Linked DNA regions of Xenopus tropicalis. The protein of the gene in region 2 interacts with the protein of the main gene of each other region in a pairwise test. Links are inferred from orthologs where the notes say so. Each region holds a gene or a part of one and is shown on either strand. Other genes may lie near its edges. The genes, in order: khdrbs3, psmf1, bend7 and fbxo7.

Region 1 (5,706 bases), on a different chromosome or scaffold from region 2:
GAATTCTCAGGGGACAAAGAGGAATAGAAACTTTGGGGCAGATTTATTGAAACTATATAGGGCAGAAGGGCAATATTTACCATTAATACATTAATAAAATGGAAATGATTTAAACATGGAATGGCTCCATCTTTCTGTTGGAAAGCAGTTATTATTATGGTACTATGAAGATCGTAATCTCTGATCCGTCCTACTATAACAATGGTGGTGACTACATCAGGCTGCCTGCTGCCCCACTATGGGCATTGCCCACTGGATTGTGTGAAGATGCCAGCACCATGCCTTTAGGGGGCAGCATACAGGGGCCACTGGCTTCACTGCCAGAAGATGAGAATAGAAGTTCTATGAATGGTCTCTAGGAAAGGAAGGTGGCTGGAGGGTGTGTATAATAAGAAACATGGAATTTATATCAGAGTTTTCCAATCTGCAGTAACTGACTGGGGCTTACTCAGAATTTGCCAGCATTGCCCCCTGCCTTATATAAAGGCTTCCCCTGGGAGACCATTAATGACTTTATAATTAGCCATAAATTCCTACGTTGTGATTGGTTCACTGCAATTTGGGTCCTGTCAGGGGTTTTCAGTTTTATTGCTGTGATATCATTAACTTGGGTTCAAATGGGGGAGAAGGGGGGTCTGGGAGAGTGGGATAAAGAATTTGTTTGGGAATGAGACTGGGCTGAGCTGTAGTAAAGGACTAGTTAGGGTACTCTGTATGTCCAATGTATGTAACCCACTTATTGTACAGCACTGCGGGATATGTTGGCGCTTTATAAATAAATGTTAATGTAATGTCTTTGGGGCAAGGTGGGGGTAGGAGGAGATTGTATTATATGTGGTTAGGAATTTGGATGGGGGGTGGGTGGGGTTATGCAGGAGGTAGAGATTTAGGCAGGATTGGAGAAATTCAGGGAGGGTGCCCTTTGTGTAGGAGACAGGGATGTAGGGAGGGTTGGGGGGTCTGTAGTTTGGTAGAGATTCGAGGAAGTGTATTGGTTATATGGGGGCAGAAATTAGTTGAGGGTGCCCTTTGTGTAGGAGACAGTGATTTATGATAGGTTGGGGGGGTCCCACAATTTGGTAGAGATTTAGGGGTGTATTGGTTATATGGGGGCAGAAATTAGTTGAGGGTGCCCTTTGTGTAGGAGACAGTGATTTATGATAGGTTGGGGGGGTCCCACAATTTGGTAGAGATTTAGGGGTGTATTGGTTATATGGGGGCAGAAATTAGTTGAGGGTGCCCTTTGTGTAGGAGACAGGGATTTATGATAGGTTGGGGGGGTCCCACAATTTGGTAGAGATTTAGGGGTGTATTGGTTATATGGGGGCAGAAATTAGTTGAGGGTGCCCTTTGTGTAGGAGACAGTGATTTATGATAGGTTGGGGGGGTCCCACAATTTGGTAGAGATTTAGGGGTGTATTGGTTATATGGGGGCAGAAATTAGTTGAGGGTGCCCTTTGTGTAGGAGACAGGGATTTATGATAGGTTGGGGGGGTCCCACAATTTGGTAGAGATTTAGGGGTGTATTGGTTATATGGGGGCAGAAATTAGTTGAGGGTGCCCTTTGTGTAGGAGACAGGGATTTATGATAGGTTGGGGGGGTCCCACAATTTGGTAGAGATTTAGGGGTGTATTGGTTATATGGGGGCAGATATTCAGGGAGGGTGCCCTTTGTGTAGGAGACAGGGATGTAGGAATAGTTGGGGGGTCTGTAGTTTGGTAGAGATTTAGGGGTGTATTGGTTATATGGGGGCAGATATTCAGGGAGGGTGCCCTTTGTGTAGGAGACAGGGATGTAGGGAGGGTTGGGGGGTCTGTAGTTTGGTAGAGATTTAGGGGTGTATTGGTTATATGGGGGCAGATATTCAGGGAGGGTGCCCTTTGTGTAGGAGACAGGGATGTAGGAATAGTTGGGGGGTCTGTAGTTTGGTAGAGAGTTGAAGAAGGTACTATGGGGGCAGTAATTTGGGGGGGGGCAGGGGGTTCTATGGGGAAGCAGGGGGTTAGTAGTGGGGTAACATGGGAACTGAGATTGTGTGAGGATTGGCTGTGGGTATCAGGCATTAGAGTAGAATTGGGGCAGAAGGTACAGGGGGGGTTAGTTCCTATCCGGGCAGTGGAAGGAAGACATAGGGTAGCGGTATAACGGGTAACGGGACTGTATGTGGGAGAGTTCGGTACCGACTGCAGCAGAACATCGCAGGGGCCCCGGCTTGGGCTCCGCACCCACAGCGGCTCAGTAACGTACTCCCGGCCCCTCCCGCACTGTCCCAGCCCCGCCCATTCAGTCAGTCCCAGCTCCGCCCATTCAGCACCACAGACAGCGACCAACGGGGAGACTCGCTAAATATTAATGAGCCTGTCACTTACTCCTTCCCACCATTGGTTGGGAACAGACAAGGGGCGTGTGTATGGGCGGGGTTGGCGGAGGAATTTGCTTGTTCCCCGCCCAAGGGAGGGAAGCGGTGGGTTGGCGCAGCCGTTTGTTTTTAAGGAGACGTGAGTGGGCTGCTGGGTCAGTCGGAGCCGGGCGGGCTGAGAGGAGGCTGTGTGGGAGCCGCACGCTGTGGGTACGGGGAGGGCAGTGACAGTGACTCTCTGTGGCGGAACTTCGCTCTGACAGGGATCCCTACGGGCTGCTCTATTGCCCCTGCCGCGGACTATTTCCAACCCCTTTGGGTCGCCCGGACTGGCCCTCGGATTCCCGCTGGATTCTCCGGAGTATTAACCCCCCTACCCCCGTATGGAGAAGTATCTCCCGCAGCTCCTGGCTGAGAAGGACGCGCTGGATCCGTCATTCACTCACGCACTCAGGATGGTGAAGGAAGGTAGGAACTATTGCCCCCCCCGGGGTATTATATTGTTATATTATGGGGGACACTTGCACTGGGGGTGACCTCTGGGGTATATTTATCCTGTGGGGTACAGAATGCAGTGCGATTCCCCCCCCGGGTATATTTTACTGGAACTGCCCCACTGGGGTACATTCATTCCTACCCTCTGCCCAGGAACAGCCCCCCTGTACTCTACTGCCCCCCCAAGGGAACTCATGCACTGTAACTGCCCCACTGGGGTACATTCATTCCTACCCTCTGCCCAGGAACAGCCCCCCTGTACTCTACTGCCCCCCCCATGGGAACTCATGCACTGGAACTGCCCCGCTGGGGTACATTCATTCCTACCCTCTGCCCAGGAACAGCCCCCCTGTACTCTACTGCCCCCCCATGGGAACTCATGCACTGGAACTGCCCCACTGGGGTACATTCATTCCTGCCCTCTGCCCAGGAACAGCCCCCCTGTACTCTACTGCCCCCCCATGGGAACTCATGCACTGGAACTGCCCCACTGGGGTACATTCATTCCTGCCCTCTGCCCAGGAACAGCCCCCCTGTACTCTACTGCCCCCCCATGGGAACTCATGCACTGGAACTGCCCCGCTGGGGTACATTCATTCCTGCCCTCTGCCCAGGAACAGCCCCCCTGTACTCTACTGCCCCCCCATGGGAACTCATGCACTGGAACTGCCCCACTGGGGTACATTCATTCCTACCATCTGCCTTGGGACAGCCCCCCTGTACTCTACTGCCCCCCCATGGGAACTCATGCACTGTCACTGCCCCACTGGGGTACATTCATTCCTGCCCTCTGCCCAGGGACAGCTCCCCAGTACTTTATTACCCCCCCCCCAAGGGAACTCATGCACTGGAACTGCCCCACTGGGGTACATTCATTCCTACCATCTGCCTTGGGACAGCCCCCCTGTACTCTACTGCCCCCCAAGGGAACTCATGCACTGAAACTGCCCCGCTGGGGTACATTCATTCCTGCCCTCTGCCCAGGGACAGCCCCCCTGTACTCTACTGCCCCCCCAAGGGAACTCATGCACTGGAACTGCCCCACTGGGGTACATTCATTCCTACCCTCTGCCCAGGGACAGCCTCCTTGTACTCTACTGCCCCCCCAAAGGGAATTAATTCACTGAAACTGCCCCACTAGGATACATTCATTCCTACCCTCTGCCCAGGGACAAACCCCCTGTACTCTACTGCCCCCCATGGGAACTCATGCACTGGAACTGCCCCACTGGGGTACATTCATTCCTACCCTCTGCCCAGGGACAGCCTCCTTGTACTCTACTGCCCCCCCAAGGGAACTCATTCACTGGAAGTGCTTCCCTGAGACATATCATCTCTTCCTCCTCTCCTAAAATTGGTCCTACTCAGTAAAGTACCCTCACCATCATCTATCCATCTATCTATCTATCTATCTATCTATCTATCTATCTATCTATCTATCTATCTATCTATCTATCTAATCTACCTATCCATCCATCTCTGAAGAATAAGGTAAATCAATGTTCATTCTCCAAAGCACATTCACCTTAACAACCTCCTATGGAACATGTCCCTCAGCTTCCCAAACAGTCATGTTAAGAACCCCCAAGCCCTTTATACTAAGAATTCACCCCCCAATGTACAATACCACCCAAGGATTTTACCTCTACCCTCAAGTCAAAGCTGCTCATACTCCGGGGACTGCGCTCCCTAAAGCTCCCCTATAACCTTATCCTCTCTAGGGAACTCATCTCTCAACCTCTTCCAAAAATCACAATGCTTGGGGCAGGGGGGGCTCTCTCTTCTTGATGGCCAGGATTATATCTAGAAAGTCTTTTTGTTTTAAGAGCAACCCCTTGGCTAAACTTAGTGATGGGATTGGGTAGAAGGACTGGAATCTTGAAATCTAAATTGCTCTTTTGGAGAGGGTGGGGGGGTAATATGTTTCCAGGCTCTGCTTTCACTCTGGTTGGGGTGGGTACATAGGATAACGTCTCTGAAATGCAAAAAAATCACATTGTGGTATTGGTACCTGACCTAAATCTGTCATTACCTGTTCTAGGGGGAAGCTATGGATTTGAACTACTATAGCTCCCTCTGGGGGTCTTGTACTTAGAATGCTCTTGGTGGTGGTGGGGGGCTGCGTTCTAAAACTACACTCACTCCACCTTCTAATGTATCTATAGCATATTGTAGCTCGCCCCGAGTCCCTCTGGGAAGATCCAACGCCAGCTGTTTCCCTCATGTTAATTCTATTGAGATCCGCTGTATCTCACAATAGGTGCCACATATATAGCATTCTCCGTCTCTCTCTAAGAGACCGTGGCAGTCACACCTACAGAGCAGTCTCCATCTCTCTATTTCGGTGGAAGAGAGCCCACCCCAAGGTATTGTCATCGCTTTATTTTTACCCTGGTTTCAGTATAGGAATCCTCAGGGTAGGACAACATGCAGCCCCGGGAAAGGAATCCTGTTGAATAAGATTTAATTGCTCCTCATCCGATCAAAGCGAGACGTCTCCCAAGTACAAAGAGCAAATTTTATGACCCCCAATATATATATATATATACGAATGTACAAAGTTGTTTTGTGCCACCTGTGTATGTATATATGCATTATATATATATATATATATAGATATATCACTGGGATTTTCCTATTGCAGTAGCCAATGTACCGAGGGAGACCCGCAGATGCAGCAGCTAGCCATGTGTCCCAGCGGATTCATAGGCTGTTTATACATATATATATATTTACTGTAAGCTATATACATATATACCCCCTGATGTATCCCAGCCGGGCTTGCTATTCCAGCAGATAAATGCTCAAGCCTGACAGAAAGGGCTTTGTCTATTTTAATTGCCATTTGTTG
Region 2 (5,461 bases):
GTGTAAACTGACTGGCGCGGGGGCTCGGGGGGTAACGGGGATGTTCCCCTGTGGGGCTGTGGTAACTGACTGGGGAGCTCGGGGGTAACGGGGGATGTTCCCCTGTGGGCTGGGTAACTGACTGGGGAGCTCGGGGGGGTAACGGGGGATGTTCCCCTGTGGGGCTGTGTAACTGACTGGGGGGAGCTCGGGGGGTAACGGGGGATGTTCCCCTGTGGGGCTGTGTAACTGACTGGGGAGCGGGGGTAACGGGGATGTTCCCTGTGGGGCTGTGACTGGGGTACTGACTGGGGGAGCTCGGGGGTTAACGGGGGACGTTCCCTGTGGGGCTGTGTAACTGACTGGGGGGAGCTCGGGGGTAACGGGGGATGTTCCCCTGTGGGGCTGTGTAACTGACTGGGGGGAGCTCGGGGGGTAACGGGGGATGTTCCCCTGTGGGGCTGTGTAACTGACTGGGGGGAGCTCGGGGGGTAACGGGGGATGTTCCCCTGTGGGCTGTGTAACTGACTGGGGGAGCTCGGGGGGGGGTAACGGGGGACGTTCCCCTGTGGGGCTGTGTAACTGACTGGGGGGAGGCTCGGGGGGTAACGGGGGATGTTCCCCTGGGGCTGTGTAACTGATGGGGGAGCTCGGGGGGTAACGGGGATGTTCCCCTGGTGGGGCTGTGTAACTGACTGGGGGGAGCTCGGGGGTAACGGGGGCTAACGGGGACGTTCCCCTGTGGGGCTGTGTAACTGACTGGGGGGAGCTCGGGGGGTAACGGGGGACGTTCCCTGTGGGCTGTGTAACTGACTGGGGGGAGCTCGGGGGTAACGGGGGGTATGTTCCCTGTGGGGCTGTGTAACTGACTGGGGGGAGCTCGGGGGGTAACGGGGGATGTCCCTGTGGGGCTGTGTAACTGACTGGGGGGACTCGGGGTAACGGGGGACGTTCCCTGTGGGGCTGTGTAACTGACTGGGGAGCTCGGGGAAGCCGGGTAACGGGGGACGTTCCTGTGGGGCTGTGTAACTGACTGGGGGGAGCTCGGGGGGAAGCTCGGGGGGGTAACGGGGGACGTTCCCCTGTGGGGCTGTGTAACTGACTGGGGGGAGCTCGGGGGTAACGGGGGACGTTCCCTGTGGGGCTGTGTAACTGACTGGGGACTCGGGGGAAGCTCGGGGGTAACGGGGTTCCCCTGTGGGGCTGTGTAACTGACTGGGGGGAGCTCGGGGGGTAACGGGGGACGTTCCCCTGTGGGGCTGTGTAACTGACTGGGGGAGCTCGGGGGGGGGTAACGGGGGACGTTCCCCTGTGGGGCTGTGTAACTGACTGGGGGGAGCTCGGGGGGTAACGGGGACGTTCCCCTGTGGGGCTGTGTAACTGACTGGGGGGCTCGGGGGTAACGGGGACGTTCCCCTGTGGGCTGTAACTGACTGGGGGAGCTTGGGGGGTAACGGGGGACGTTCCCTGTGGGGCTGTGTAACTGACTGGGGGGAGCTCGGGGGGTAACGGGGGAATCTTTATATCATTTCAGTTGGTTTCTGTGATTTATTTTGTACGGTGGTTGAATTATCGGTGTTTCTATTCCGTCCGTTTCCCACAAGGGTCACTGACCCTATCGACCACTAAACAGAACTCCTCTGATTGTTCCACTTCTATAGTTACGCTACCTGGTTACTAAGGTAATGGAGGCATAGCAACCACAATGCAGCTGCAATTTTTAAGCCTTGAAGTTCCAGATAAAAAAAACAAATCATAAAAACCACAGGTTCTTAGCTGAATGGGGAGTAACCCGAGTGGGGGCCCGACCTGCCCCTGCCCTTACTACCCCAGACTAATATTGCCCCCCCCCCAAGGTTATTAACCCCCACACCCCACACCCCACACTGCAGCCCAACCCACACTGCTCGCCTTGGGGGGTACAAGAGGGTAATTTGCCCCTAGAGCAGGGTAAATAGTGTCGGTTGCTGGGAGTTGTGGGACTATTGGAGGGGGGGGGGGGGCAGGAAGTCCCGCCCCCCATTTATAGCGCCCCCTGGGGCGGAACCTCCAATCACTTCGCTCTGTTCTCCCGGCTGAACGCGGAAGCTGAAAGTGTTGGGACCGGAAGTGAGTATGACGCAGTTCCGATCATGGCGGCCCCGGGAATGGAGCTGCTTTTCTCTCTGGTTTCCGCCGATATTTCCCGCCCGCCGGATCCGCTGATCTGTTTCATCCACTGGGAGTTAATCAGCCGCCGCCTGCGGTGCCTGGGCCGGGGGGAGGAGGTGAGAATAAAGCCCGGCACCCCCTCCCCTGAGTGTGAGTGAGGGCTGAGTGTGAGTGAGGGCTGAGTGTGTGTTACTACACAGTAAGGGGGGCTCGGCCTGTATCCGCTAATGGGGGAGGGGCTGAAACTTTATTATACAGTCTGTGTGTGAGTGTAACAACCCGCCCCCTCTCCTGGTGCCCCGCCCCCTCTCCTGGTGCCCCGCCCCCTCAGCCTGCAGCCTTGTGCCTTTATATGGGGGGCACAGAACCCCTCAGTGACTGCTAATATCCTTATCATTTACAGTAGGGGGCACATTATCCCTTATAATACATGAGTGATACTCAGAGTTCCCTGTATAACTCAGCCTGCAGCCTTGTGCCTTTATATGGGGGGCACAGAACCCCTCAGTGACTGCTAATATCCTTATCATTTACAGTAGGGGGTACATTATCCCTTATAATACATGAGTGATACTCAGAGTTCCCTGTATAACTCAGCCTGCAGCCTTGTGCCTTTATATGGGGGGCACAGAACCCCTCAGTGACTGCTAATATCCTTATCATTTACAGTAGGGGGTACATTATCCCTTATAATACATGAGTGATACTCAGAGTTCCCTGTATAACTCAGCCTGCAGCCTTGTGCCTTTATATGGGGGGCACAGAACCCCTCAGTGACTGCTAATATCCTTATCATTTACAGTAGGGGGTACATTATCCCTTATAATACATGAGTGATACTCAGAGTTCCCTGTATAACTCAGCCTGCAGCCTTGTGCCTTTATATGGGGGGCACAGAACCCCTCAGTGACTGCTAATATCCTTATCATTTACAGTAGGGGGTACATTATCCCTTATAATACATGAGTGATACTCAGAGTTCCCTGTATAACTCAGCCTGCAGCCTTGTGCCTTTATATGGGGGGCACAGAACCCCTCAGTGACTGCTAATATCCTTATCATTTACAGTAGGGGGTACATTATCCCTTATAATACATGAGTGATACTCAGAGTTCCCTGTATAACTCAGCCTGCAGCCTTGTGCCTTTATATGGGGGGCACAGAACCCCTCAGTGACTGCTAATATCCTTATCATTTACAGTAGGGGGTACAGTATCCCTTATAATACATGAGTGATACTCAGAGTTCCCTGTATAACTCAGCCTGCAGCCTTGTGCCTTTATATGGGGGGCACAGAACCCCTCAGTGACTGCTAATATCCTTATCATATACAGTAGGGGGTACATTATCCTTTCGATGCAGACTATGTGTCGCCCCCCGCAGGCAGCAGCGCAGGAGTCGGGGTCGGAGCGCCTCCCGGAGGGATGGGCACACAGTACGGACCTGTACACGCTGCGCTACGGGAGCCCAAACTCACAGTTTTTGCTGAAAGCCCTGACAGTAGAGGGCGCTGTGATTGTGCATCTCATGGTAAGGAGAATGCCCCCGGGGCACTAACCCACTCTGCCAGTACAATGCTGTGCCGGTGTGCCAGCCAATGAAACAGGAGCCCATTGATTCTGAGCAGCTGATTGGCTCTCTCCCACAGGACATGCAGACGGAGAAGGTTGCGGATGTGACGCTGCAAGTGTCCCGGTTCATTGACTCCGCCCACCTGCAGGAATACCCCAGGTCAGAGGCTGGGGGGCCCCGGGGGGGGGGGAGGTTATGGTGGGGTTCCCCTGGCTGCCGTTACATCAGGTAGGCGGGGGGTTATGTGGGGTTCCCCTGGGCTGCCGTTACACAGGCTGGGGGGGGTTATGGTGGGGTTCCCGGCTGGCTGCCGTTACACAGGTAGGGGGGGATATATAGGTGGGGTTCCCCTGGTTCTGCCGTACAGACACAGGTACGGGGGGGGTTATGGCTGGCGCTTCCCCTGGCTGCCCGTTACACAGGTGGGGGGGGTTCATCGGTGGGGTTCCCCTGAGCTGCCGTCTCACACAGGATAGGGGGGGGTTATGGTTGGGGTTACCCCTGGCTGCCGTTACACAGGTAGGGGGGGGTTATGGTGGGGTTCCCCTGGCTGCCGTTACACAGGTAGGGGGGGGTTATGGTGGGGTTCCCCTGGCTGCCGTTACAGCAGGTGGGGGGGTTATGGTGGGTTCCCCTGGCTGCCGTTACACATGTAGGGGGGTTATGGTGGGGTTCCCCTGGCTGCCGTAAATAAGAATAAATACACAGGTGTGGGGGGAGATATGGTGGGGTTCCCCTGGCTGCCGTTACACAGGTGGGGGGGTTATGGTGGGGTTCCCTGGCTGGTAGAACCGTTACACAGGTAGGGTTATGGTGGGGTTCCCCTGGCTGCCGTTACACAGGTGGGTAGGGGGGGGTTATGGTGGGGTTCCCCTGGCTGCCGTTACACAGGTAGGGGGGGGTTATGGTGGGGTTCCCCTGGCTGCCGTTACACAGGTAGGGGGGTTATGGTGGGCGTTACACATTTAGTGGTGGGGTGTCCCTGGCTGCCGTTACACAGGTGGGGGGTTATGGTGGGGTTCCCTGGCTGCCGTTACACAGGTAGGGGGGGGGTTATGGTGGGGTTCCCCTGGCTGCCATTACACAGGTAGGGGGGGTTATGGTGGGGTTCCCCTGGCTGCCGTTACACAGGTAGGGGGGGGTTATGGTGGGGTTCCCCTGGCTGCCGTTACACAGGTAGGGGGGGGTTATGGTGGGGTTCCCCTGGCTGCCGTTACACGAGGGTGGGGGGTTATGGTGGGGTTCCCCTGGCTGCCGTTACACAGGTAGGGGGGGGTTATGGTGGGGTTCCCCTGGCTGCCGTTGACACACAGGTAGGGGGGGGTTATGGTGGGGTTCCCCTGGCTGCCGTTACACAGGTAGGGGGGGGTTATGGGTGGGGTTCCCCTGGCTGCCGTTACACAGGTAGGGGGGGGTTAGGTGGGGTTCCCTGGCTGCCGTTACACAGGTGGGTTCCCCTTGATAGATAGTGGTGGGGGTAATATGGTGGGGTTCCCCTGGCTGGGCCGTTACACAGGTTGGGGGGGTTATGGTGGGGTTCCATAAGTACACAGGTGGGAAGGGGGGTTTATGGTGGGGTTCCGGCTCTGGCTGCCGTTACACAGGTAGGGGGGGTTATGGTGGGGCTGCCGTTACACAGGTAGGGGGGGTTATGGTGGGGTTCCCTGCGCTGGGAACAAGTAGGAAAAGACAGTAGGGGGGTTATGGTGGGGTTTCCCTGGCTGCCGTTACACAGGTGGGGGGGTTATGGTGGACTGGG
Region 3 (4,998 bases), on a different chromosome or scaffold from region 2:
GGTAATTGGGGCGTGGCCACAAAGTGGGCGTGGCCAAAAAATTTCGCGCTGCACACGCCAAGTCTATTTGTCCCTCTTTTCATTTTTCAAATGTTGGGAGGTATGGTACATCAAAAGTTAGCTATGGGTTATATTGATTGTTTTTTGCCCAGATGTCTGCTTTATTTAGTAAAGTTACCTGAATGTCTGAAACCCGACTGTTTTGCAAACCCGACTGGCACTTTTCAACCTGTCAATTAGTGTTTCACTTCACTGACGTCAGCTGAAGCTGGGCAGCGCTGCCTGTAAGTGTCTTCTCAATAAATCTTTGCACCAGAACTATACTAATTAGTCCTGCTGTGATTTATTATTTGAAAGGAACACGATCCCATATAGATAACAAGTATACACTTTGTCTGCTTGTGCCTGCTATAGAGCGTCCATGACAGAGACGGCCAGTTCAAAGGGTATCAGAGCAAATATGCTTAGAAAGGAATGCAAAAGCCTCATTCCTAAACACCACTGTCCACTGTTGTACTTCAGCATTAAAAGATTTCATTAGAAATAGTTTGTATGTGCAGCACTGAATCCGATTGGCTAGGATTTTCAAACTAAAATTAAGGGCAGTGTTTTCAAACAACAACTGCCCAAACAAGGCAGCCCCCTCAGAGAGAAACCCATGAGACCAGAATGGCAATGTAAAAGTGATAGCTATATGGTTATAGGTTGAAATTAAAGAGATAATACAATGATAAAGCAATGAAAGGTTTAAAAAACATCTTTATTTTTGGTGTCAGTATCACTTTAATTCCTAACTTACTACTAAAAAAGTATATTTTTATGAAAATGGTTTATTTAGATGAAGCAGAGTTTTACATATGAGCTGGTTTATGCAATATATTTTTATAGAGGCCGACACTGTTTGGGGGGTATAGTTTCCCTTTAAAATCACTAAAAATTCTGTCTCTCTAAATGAAGGGTTTGTGCAAGAGCACCCCCCCCCAAAAAAAAGATATATTGGACCTTACTGTCAATCAAAATCAACTTCTGCATAAAGAGGGAATGAAGATAAACAAATGCTGAGAGGGGATCATAGTAAAGATAAATGTGATTATTTCAGAAACAGTACAGAATGTTTAGAAAGTTTCTTATTTCAGTATGGTGATGCTTATATTACATATTTACAGTTGTTTATGTTTTTTTAAGTAAAAAATGTAAATTTGTGGAGTATCTAGAACCTCAATTTGAGATTTATTAAGAACTGGTATATGAAAGCTGCGGAGTTTATGTAGAAATCAATGGGAGATGTATTGGCAAGGTCTGCAAATGTATTACTAACATGTTTATAATTATGAAACACCCTACATTAAAACCTAACTTGTAATTTTTAGAATACTTAGGAGCACATTTACTAAGAAATTTTAAGAAAAAGTTGATTTACAAATGGGCTTTTGCCATTGATATTGTTTCTTGAAAAATTAGATTTTTCTGGAAATTTTGCCCGAAACATTTGATTTTTTCTAAAATAACTCCCGTAATTTGTGATTTATTAATGTTTAGTTAACTTTTTTTTGTAAAAAAAAAAAAAAATTCGACAGGTTGATTTGTCGAGTACAATTGAGTCCTTTCAAGGCTTGGAATAGAAGAGGAATAGAATAGCCTGTCCTTGACACATTTTCAAGGGGAATTTAATCCCATTATTGTTTTCAGTTTCACCCACATTCAAGTGAAACTAGAATGAGTACCAATGCTCCTAAAATGGCTGCTGGAGCAATTCCTGTTTGGCAAAAATAAAGAAGATTAATGGAAATGAACGTTCGTTTAAACTCAAATTTTTCGAGTTTCAAATATATATATAGTTGTGGCTTGAAAAATTTGCGATTTTCTAACATAAAATTTGAAATTTTCTTACGAAAGATTCAAGCATTATCGTGACATTTTATAAATACAACAATGATTAAGTTTAATTCGAATTTATACCGTGTTGAGGTTTTTTCTGTCAAGGCCAGAAAAAGATGAGTTTAAGTAAATGTGACTGTTAATTTTATATCTAGAGAAATGATGGGCTGTACCTACTTTGTATGTATTTTTTGAGAACACATTAATAGCTTAATTACTGTATCATGTATTACCGTATATACTCGAGTATAAGCCGATCCGAATATAAGCCGAGGTACCTAATTTTACCTAAGAAAACTGGAAAAACTTATTGACTCGAGTATAAGCCCCTCAATGGTGCAGCATGAAAAGCATCCATATACCGGTATACAAAATCTTTAATCCCATAAGTAAATATGGCATTTCTGTATTCTTTAAATACACCAAATTGCAAAGTATACATGCCTTTAATTTTAAAATATTAATGGAATTACAAGTAGAGCGGAAGCAACCATGCATATGGATTTTTTTTTTTTTTTTAACTTTGTTTTTATTGGTTGTTTTACAGCAAGGTAAAATACATATGAAATATATGAAACAAAAAAGAAGGAAGAAGGAAAAGGGGGGGTTAAAGAAAGTTGGGTGGGGGTTAGATAGGGGGTTGAGGGTGTTTTTTAATTTTTAAAGAAAAGCTCCATTTATTCAGGCTATGGATTTTCCAGCAAACAGCCCTAATATAAACAAATGTGAGTGTATTAAGCAATGCTAGGGCCCACGGCTAGCACAAGGATATCATAACCAAGCATTTCAATAGTGTGGAGTAACGGTGCTGCCTTTTGTGTCACTTACTGTCATTGTCATTCGGCAAGATGTTGGCACTAACAGTAGCAACAGTAACTAACTGTAGCGCGCACACTGTGTCCACATTCTCCTTAAGGCCGGGCACGGGGGGGTCCAGGGAGGGGGGTGCTCCTCCTGTGCTCCACTGTGTCCTTACCTGCAGCGGCGCGCTGTGCAGAATGTCGCGCGCACGCCGTGTCCACACGCTGCTGGAGGCTGGCACACTCAACTACCGCATTGCATGATGTATACAGTAGAAATGGAAGAAATGAACTAGAAGAGCTTTACAATAAAAATATGCATTTTACTTACTTACTTTTACTAAATGTTTTAAGGGATCTTTTATGTAAAAAAGCTGGTACCTTAAGTATATTTGTTTCTTGTGGTGTCCCGTGTAGAGATGTGTTGTAAGGTACTGCTTATTTGTTTGCCAGCAATGTGCAAAATAAGGAAATCTCTGCCCTACTATATTGAAGTAAGGTATCTCTGCCACAGCTTTCTTGGAGGTTGGGGCCTTTCTTTGCCTAAATGTGGCCCTGACAACAATTAAAGGAACAGTAAAATAAAAAAATTTAAATGATAATGTATTGTTGCCCTGCACTGGTTTGCTTCAAAAAAACTATTTCAGTTAATATAAATAAGCTGCTGTCTAGCCATAGGGGCCAAAGGCACAGGTTACATAAGCAAACAGATAATAGCAGATAAGCTTTGTAGAATACAATAGGAATCTATGCAATTTATCTGCTATATAACCTGTGCCTTTTCTCCTTTTTTCAATTTGAATGGGTACCCCCATGGCTACACAGCATTTTTGTTTACATAAACTATAGTAGTGTTTCTGAAGCAAACACACAACTTTTACCAGTGCAGGGAAACAGTAGATAATAGCTTAATTACTTTGATACACTTTCAGTTTTTGGTGTTACTGTTCCTTTAAAGTAAACATCCCAGTTAGTACAGATGTGTGGGCAGATGAATGTTGGGAACCCCTATGTATTCAATATACAGAGATTCTCAAATGAGACCATGTTGAAGAAACAGAATTATGTATTTTCAAAAGCAGTAATTTATATTTAAAAATGCAAAAACAATCTAACCCTAACTTGAAAGTTTTCCTTTTATTCCCATATTTACAACCTGCCCAGCTACAAAGTAGAAAGCGGCACACAATATATACAGTATACTTCTGGTGAAGTGTTTTGCCCTCACCTTTAAAATAACTAAACAACTAATAATTAACACCATTTATACATGCATATGTGTTTTATTACAGTTTCGCAAAGCCGTATGCAGGTTCCGCAGTCATGCATTTGCAATCAAAAGGCAGCCATGGCAAGGAAAAGAATAATAAAGAAAAAAGTGCTTTTAAAGAATACAGCAGTATCTCCTGTAATCAGCCCACCAAGTGTGAGTGAGAAAGAGCACAAGGCCATGGTGCTCCCAGAAAGGTCCAGTCTGACAGAAAAAGGGAGAGCCAAGAAAGAGGAGGAGCACATGCTGGGATTTGGAATTGTTGTTGATTCTTCATCCTCTGATGTAAGTTGCACTGCAAAGGTTAATTAGTTGCTTTGGCCTCTAGCAATATAATGAGTTACTCATAAATTCTTAAAATACCACTGCAAAATAAATAACATTTCTACCTTGCAAACAGTTCTCTTTTAGAGGTACTTCCTTATATACTGTAATGGTGATTTAAAACTTGTTCTATATATAGTTATAATTACATGTATCAAATAAAAAATAATGATGAATGTGGTGGCTTTATTGTGAGAAAACATTATTTTTCTGTAAAATTCTATGGCTCATATTTTGCTATGTTTTTAACTGATAAATAGGGCCACAGTGGTCCACGTTCCTACCTGAAACCAGTTGTTGATTTGAATGACTTGGAGCTGTCATTAAGATTATAAATGAAAGAGACTGAAAGACTCGAATTTATTCACAAATTCATTTCAGTTGTTGCTAGCATTTTTGAATTTAGTGTTTATTAGTTTCTGTTGGACAATTCACATATTACTCAGATCAGAGCAGTTGTTGAGTTGAAGATTTCATGTAGCACAACTGTTATTATTATTAATGTGCATTTATAAAGCACATATTCCACATTGCTGTATATGTCAGGAGTAAAAAGCCTTTCGTTACAATCATTCTTTCTTTACTGAGCAGTAACTTATGACTTCTAGGAATAAATAAATAAATCTGGCCTTGTAAGTTCATTCACACTAAATTAGACCTCAGGACTACCTCAGTGAGGTTAGGTAAAAAAGGTTTTCCCTCAGTACAGTAACTGTTTCTCTTGTA
Region 4 (4,560 bases), on a different chromosome or scaffold from region 2:
CGTGGGCCACAGTTTGAGGACCCCTGGCCGACAGCATAGGCTCACATCTTGTTGCAATATGGCTGCCGCCATCCTCATTTCTCCTCTTTTGCACGTGCAGCCACCCTGAAGATTAACAGCGAGATGAAAAGTGTGCGGAAACTTCAGCTGTCGACCAATTCCTACATTTCCTACCCCGAGACAGGTACGGGGCAGATTCCGCCGGTAAAGGGGGTGCGGGGGCCAAAAAAATTGTCAGGAAAGGGTTAACGGATGAAGAGCCGGGATCAGAAGTTTATGTCTAAACACAAGAGCCATGCGTTTTCTGTAAACGATATCCTTTTAAATGGTGCTCTGTGATGTCATCAGTTATAATTGGTGCTCAGTGATGTCATCTGTATCACATGATGTGTTATAATAAATAAGGTACCCCCTGTTGTAAAATAGTCACCTTATATTCCGTTCCATGATCTGTATAAAAGCACTCGGCCTTTGGTGTTGTGCCTTTATATGGGCACAGAACCCCTCAGTGACTGCTAATATCCTTATCATTTACAGTAGGGGGTACATTATCCCTTATAATACATGAGTGATACTCAGAGTTCCCTGTATAACTCAGCCTGCAGCCTTGTGCCTTTATATGGGGGGCACAGAACCCCTCAGTGACTGCTAATATCCTTATCATTTACAGTAGGGGGTACATTATCCCTTATAATACATGAGTGATACTCAGAGTTCCCTGTATAACTCAGCCTGCAGCCTTGTGCCTTTATATGGGGGTCACAGAACCCCTCAGTGACTGCTAATATCCTTATCATTTACAGTAGGGGGTACATTATCCCTTATAATACATGAGTGATACTCAGAGTTCCCTGTATAACTCAGCCTGCAGCCTTGTGCCTTTATATGGGGGGCACAGAACCCCTCAGTGACTGCTAATATCCTTATCATTTACAGTAGGGGGTACATTATCCCTTATAATACATGAGTGATACTCAGAGTTCCCTGTATAACTCAGCCTGCAGCCTTGTGCCTTTATATGGGGGGCACAGAACCCCTCAGTGACTGCTAATATCCTTATCATTTACAGTAGGGGGTACATTATCCCTTATAATACATGAGTGATACTCAGAGTTCCCTGTATAACTCAGCCTGCAGCCTTGTGCCTTTATATGGGGGGCACAGAACCCCTCAGTGACTGCTAATATCCTTATCATTTACAGTAGGGGGTACATTATCCCTTATAATACATGAGTGATACTCAGAGTTCCCTGTATAACTCAGCCTGCAGCCTTGTGCCTTTATATGGGGGGCACAGAACCCCTCAGTGACTGCTAATATCCTTATCATTTACAGTAGGGGGTAGTAGGATTCAGCATCTTCATGTTCCCCCCACAGATAACAACATTGCCTCTGTGTATAAGGATCTGCAGAAGTTATCGGGGCAGTTTAAAGACCAGGTGGCCTACCCTCTGCTTGCTGCTGCCCGGCAAGGTAACAGTCCGCCCCGGGCCGCTATTGGCCACTTCCCCCCCCCCCCCCCCCCCAGTTATAGCCGTTATTACATCTCCTTCCTTTCCCGTCTCAGTGCTGAACCTCCCGGATGTGTTCGGGCTACTCGTTCTCCCCCCGGAGCTCAAGCTCAGGATTTTCCGCCTGTTGGACATTCGCTCCCTTCTCAGCCTCTCGGCCACCTGTAAGGAGTTCTTGGCCGACACCAACGACCCCTCCCTGTGGCGGTTCCTGTGCGTCCGAGACTTCCGGAGTGAGTACAAATTTAGGGACACTGCACCCACATATTCTTGTGCCTTGCAACACTGGGGGTGAGGGGGTAACCCGGCAGATCCGATTTGCAGTTATAGCCGCCATATTGTTCTTAAAGGGGCGGTTCACCTTTATGTTAACTTGTATGTTATAGAATTGCAAATGATCAGCTTTTCAATTGGTCTTTATTTTTTATTATTATTATTGGACTATCTTTTTATTCAAAAACTTCTCCTATTCATATTCTAGTCTGTTATTCCAACCACTGCCTGGTTGCTAGGATAATTCGGACCTTAGCACCCAGATAGCTGCTGAAATCCCAAGCTAAATAGTACAAAAACCAATTGCAGCAGTTTGGGTGCACTGCTTTGTGGCAATGCTGTTAGGGATCAGCACTAAAAGGCAAAGTTTTGGTATCTTGGGTTTATGTTGCTTTGTGGCAATGCTGTTAGGGATCAGCACTAACTCTATGCTTTGCTGTTGAACAGATAACCTTCCAAGGAGTTTGGACATGGATTGGAAAAAGGTGGGTGCTGTTACTGTAGATATGGGCCGGGGCCTTGGGTGCAACTCAGTATAAGGGCCGCCATCTTTGTTTGTGTTGCAGCTCTACAGGGAGAAGTACAAGCAGAAGATGGAGCGCAGCCGCTTTGTACGCCGGCACTTCCTGCCCCCCAGGATCACCCACCCTTACCCTTATTACCCCAACATCTTCCCCCCTGACTTAAATTACCCTCCGGGTATCATCGGGGGTGAATACGACCAAAGGCCCTTCCCCCCTATCCTGGACCCCAGTTTCATCCCCCGAGTCGGGCCGACTTCCTCGCACTTCAGTCCCTTATCCAACCCCTTTAAAGTCACAGTCCCCTTTTCTGAGAGCGACCCATCGATCCCGGGGCCCAGCAGTCTCCGCCCCAGCAGAGGAAGGGGCCCCGACATCCGGAGGGGCTTCATATGAACTCCCGGGGGGGTCGGAGACATTCGGAGGTCGGACTGTTGCACTGGATGTTTCCCCTTAAGTTGTGAATAAGCCCCTGGCGCTGGACTTCCTGCTTTGTTATTATCTGGGGTACATGGGGCAAATGGGGGCAGTTACCCCCCCACTGGGGTGTTTCTATTACTAATAGAACTGTTTGTTAAGAATAATTAAGAGCGGGGGCTTGGGGAAACTTTTTTTTTTTTTTTTTATTATTTATGACATCAATAAATAAATACAAATACAGAGAACAGAAAATAGAAATAATCCTCGGCCAGAAGGTGGGAACCTGCAGAGTAGAACCCCCCCCCCACCCCTCCTGGGTACCCCTGGAACTATAGCAGGGTGACTGTTACCCCAATGTTTCTATATATCTGTAACCTTGTTATGGGCTAAGGGGGCCCAGCCTGAAGGCCAGTTAGGGGGGGATTTGGGGTGAGTGCTTATTTGTGCCCTGGGTACCCCTGGAACTATAGCAGGGTGACTGTTACCCCAATGTTTCTATATATCTGTAACCTTGTTATGGGCTAAGGGGGCCCAGCCTGAAGGCCAGTTAGGGGGGATTTGGGGTGAGTGCTTATTTGTGCCCTGGGTACCCCTGGAACTATAGCAGGGTGACTGTTACCCCAATGTTTCTATATATCTGTAACCTTGTTATGGCTAAGGGGGCCCAGCCTGAAGGCCAGTTAGGGGGGGATTTGGGGTGAGTGCTTATTTGTGCCCTGGGTACCCCTGGAACTATAGCGAGGTGACTGTTACCCCAATGTTTCTATATATCTGTAACCTTGTTATGGGCTAAGGGGGCCCAGCCTGAAGGCCAGTTAGGGGGGGATTTGGGGTGAGTGCTTATTTGTGCCCTGGGTACCCCTGGAACTATAGCAGGGTGACTGTTACCCCAATGTTTCTATATATCTGTAACCTTGTTATGGGCTAAGGGGGCCCAGCCTGAAGGCCAGTTAGGGGGGATTTGGGGTGAGTGCTTATTTGTGCCCTGGGTACCCCTGGAACTATAGCAGGGTGACTGTTACCCCAATGTTTCTATATATCTGTAACCTTGTTATGGGCTAAGGGGGCCCAGCCTGAAGGCCAGTTAGGGGGGGATTTGGGGTGAGTGCTTATTTGTGCCCTGGGTACCCCTGGAACTATAGCGGGGTGAGCTGAACACCTGTTACAGTGTAAATAAACCCAATAAACATGAGGGCACGGAGGGTTCAGGTGCGCGGGCCCGGGCTTTCGGCCGTGGGGAATCTAACAAAGCGAATCAGAAATGATGACAGTTTTGGCACACACTGCGACCCCTCATTCCAGAATCAGATTAAGGTTTATTCCAGGAGTATCGGCTCCAAACAAAGCTCGGCCGGAGCCAGCGCTCGTTGAATAAACATTTTAATCTCCTGTGGAATGAGGTGCATCTGTGGGCGCCAGGCCTGTCAGCAATCGCGACGCGCTCTATTGGAGACCCACGTTATGAAGATGCCATAACCGCGGCCAAGTCTTTGAAGACATTTTACTGGATTCTTGGCTTTCACCGCCGTCCAGAAACACTTTGGCATCCGGGTGCCTCTGTAATTGGTGCCCCTGAAACAATAGACATTATATGGGCAAACGTATCCGGACCCTCTAATATGCCAGGTCCTCAGGCTGAACCCTCACTGCTGGGTCTCCAGAAGCTCAGGGAGTCAACCAAACCCAACAACACTATGGTCAATGCCAAGCGTTGGCAGATTTGGGGTACAGGGAACCGTCATTGGGCTCTGGAGTAGTTGAAATCCTCGGCCCTGACTTCAACCCAACTGAACCCCTGTGGGATGGAACCCCGACTGTGAGCCTGATCCCCAACA

Evidence for each region.
Region 1: the proteins of psmf1 (region 2) and khdrbs3 interact in a two-hybrid assay, tested with the Homo sapiens proteins (2 studies listed by BioGRID and IntAct). The link is inferred for Xenopus tropicalis from reciprocal best matches to the Homo sapiens genes PSMF1 and KHDRBS3.
Region 3: the proteins of psmf1 (region 2) and bend7 interact in a two-hybrid assay, tested with the Homo sapiens proteins (2 studies listed by BioGRID and IntAct). The two-hybrid records come from large-scale screens. The link is inferred for Xenopus tropicalis from reciprocal best matches to the Homo sapiens genes PSMF1 and BEND7.
Region 4: the proteins of psmf1 (region 2) and fbxo7 interact in binary tests that used the Homo sapiens proteins (3 or more experiments, as listed by UniProt). The link is inferred for Xenopus tropicalis from reciprocal best matches to the Homo sapiens genes PSMF1 and FBXO7.

What each region holds. Positions count from the first base shown.
Region 1 is NC_030682.2:144,622,279-144,627,984, forward strand, and holds the start of khdrbs3 (KH domain-containing, RNA-binding, signal transduction-associated protein 3), read left to right. Parts: upstream 1-2,500; 5' UTR 2,501-2,743; coding exon 2,744-2,828; intron 2,829-5,706. UniProt on the Homo sapiens protein: RNA-binding protein that plays a role in the regulation of alternative splicing and influences mRNA splice site selection and exon inclusion. Binds preferentially to the 5'-[AU]UAAA-3' motif in vitro.
Region 2 is NC_030686.2:690,378-695,838, forward strand, and holds the start of psmf1 (proteasome inhibitor PI31 subunit), read left to right. Parts: upstream 1-2,004; 5' UTR 2,005-2,111; coding exon 2,112-2,246; intron 2,247-3,464; exon of another isoform or gene 3,465-3,486; coding exon of another isoform or gene 3,487-3,513; coding exon 3,514-3,660; intron 3,661-3,778; coding exon 3,779-3,861; intron 3,862-5,461. UniProt on the Homo sapiens protein: Plays an important role in control of proteasome function. Inhibits the hydrolysis of protein and peptide substrates by the 20S proteasome. Also inhibits the activation of the proteasome by the proteasome regulatory proteins PA700 and PA28.
Region 3 is NC_030679.2:81,756,462-81,761,459, forward strand, and holds part of bend7 (BEN domain-containing protein 7), read left to right. Parts: intron 1-3,970; coding exon 3,971-4,233; intron 4,234-4,998.
Region 4 is NC_030679.2:7,488,942-7,493,501, reverse strand, and holds the end of fbxo7 (F-box only protein 7), read left to right. Parts: intron 1-100; coding exon 101-184; intron 185-1,377; coding exon 1,378-1,473; intron 1,474-1,567; coding exon 1,568-1,744; intron 1,745-2,231; coding exon 2,232-2,269; intron 2,270-2,350; coding exon 2,351-2,701; 3' UTR 2,702-2,970; downstream 2,971-4,560. UniProt on the Homo sapiens protein: Substrate recognition component of a SCF (SKP1-CUL1-F-box protein) E3 ubiquitin-protein ligase complex which mediates the ubiquitination and subsequent proteasomal degradation of target proteins and plays a role in several biological processes such as cell cycle, cell proliferation, or maintenance of chromosome stability.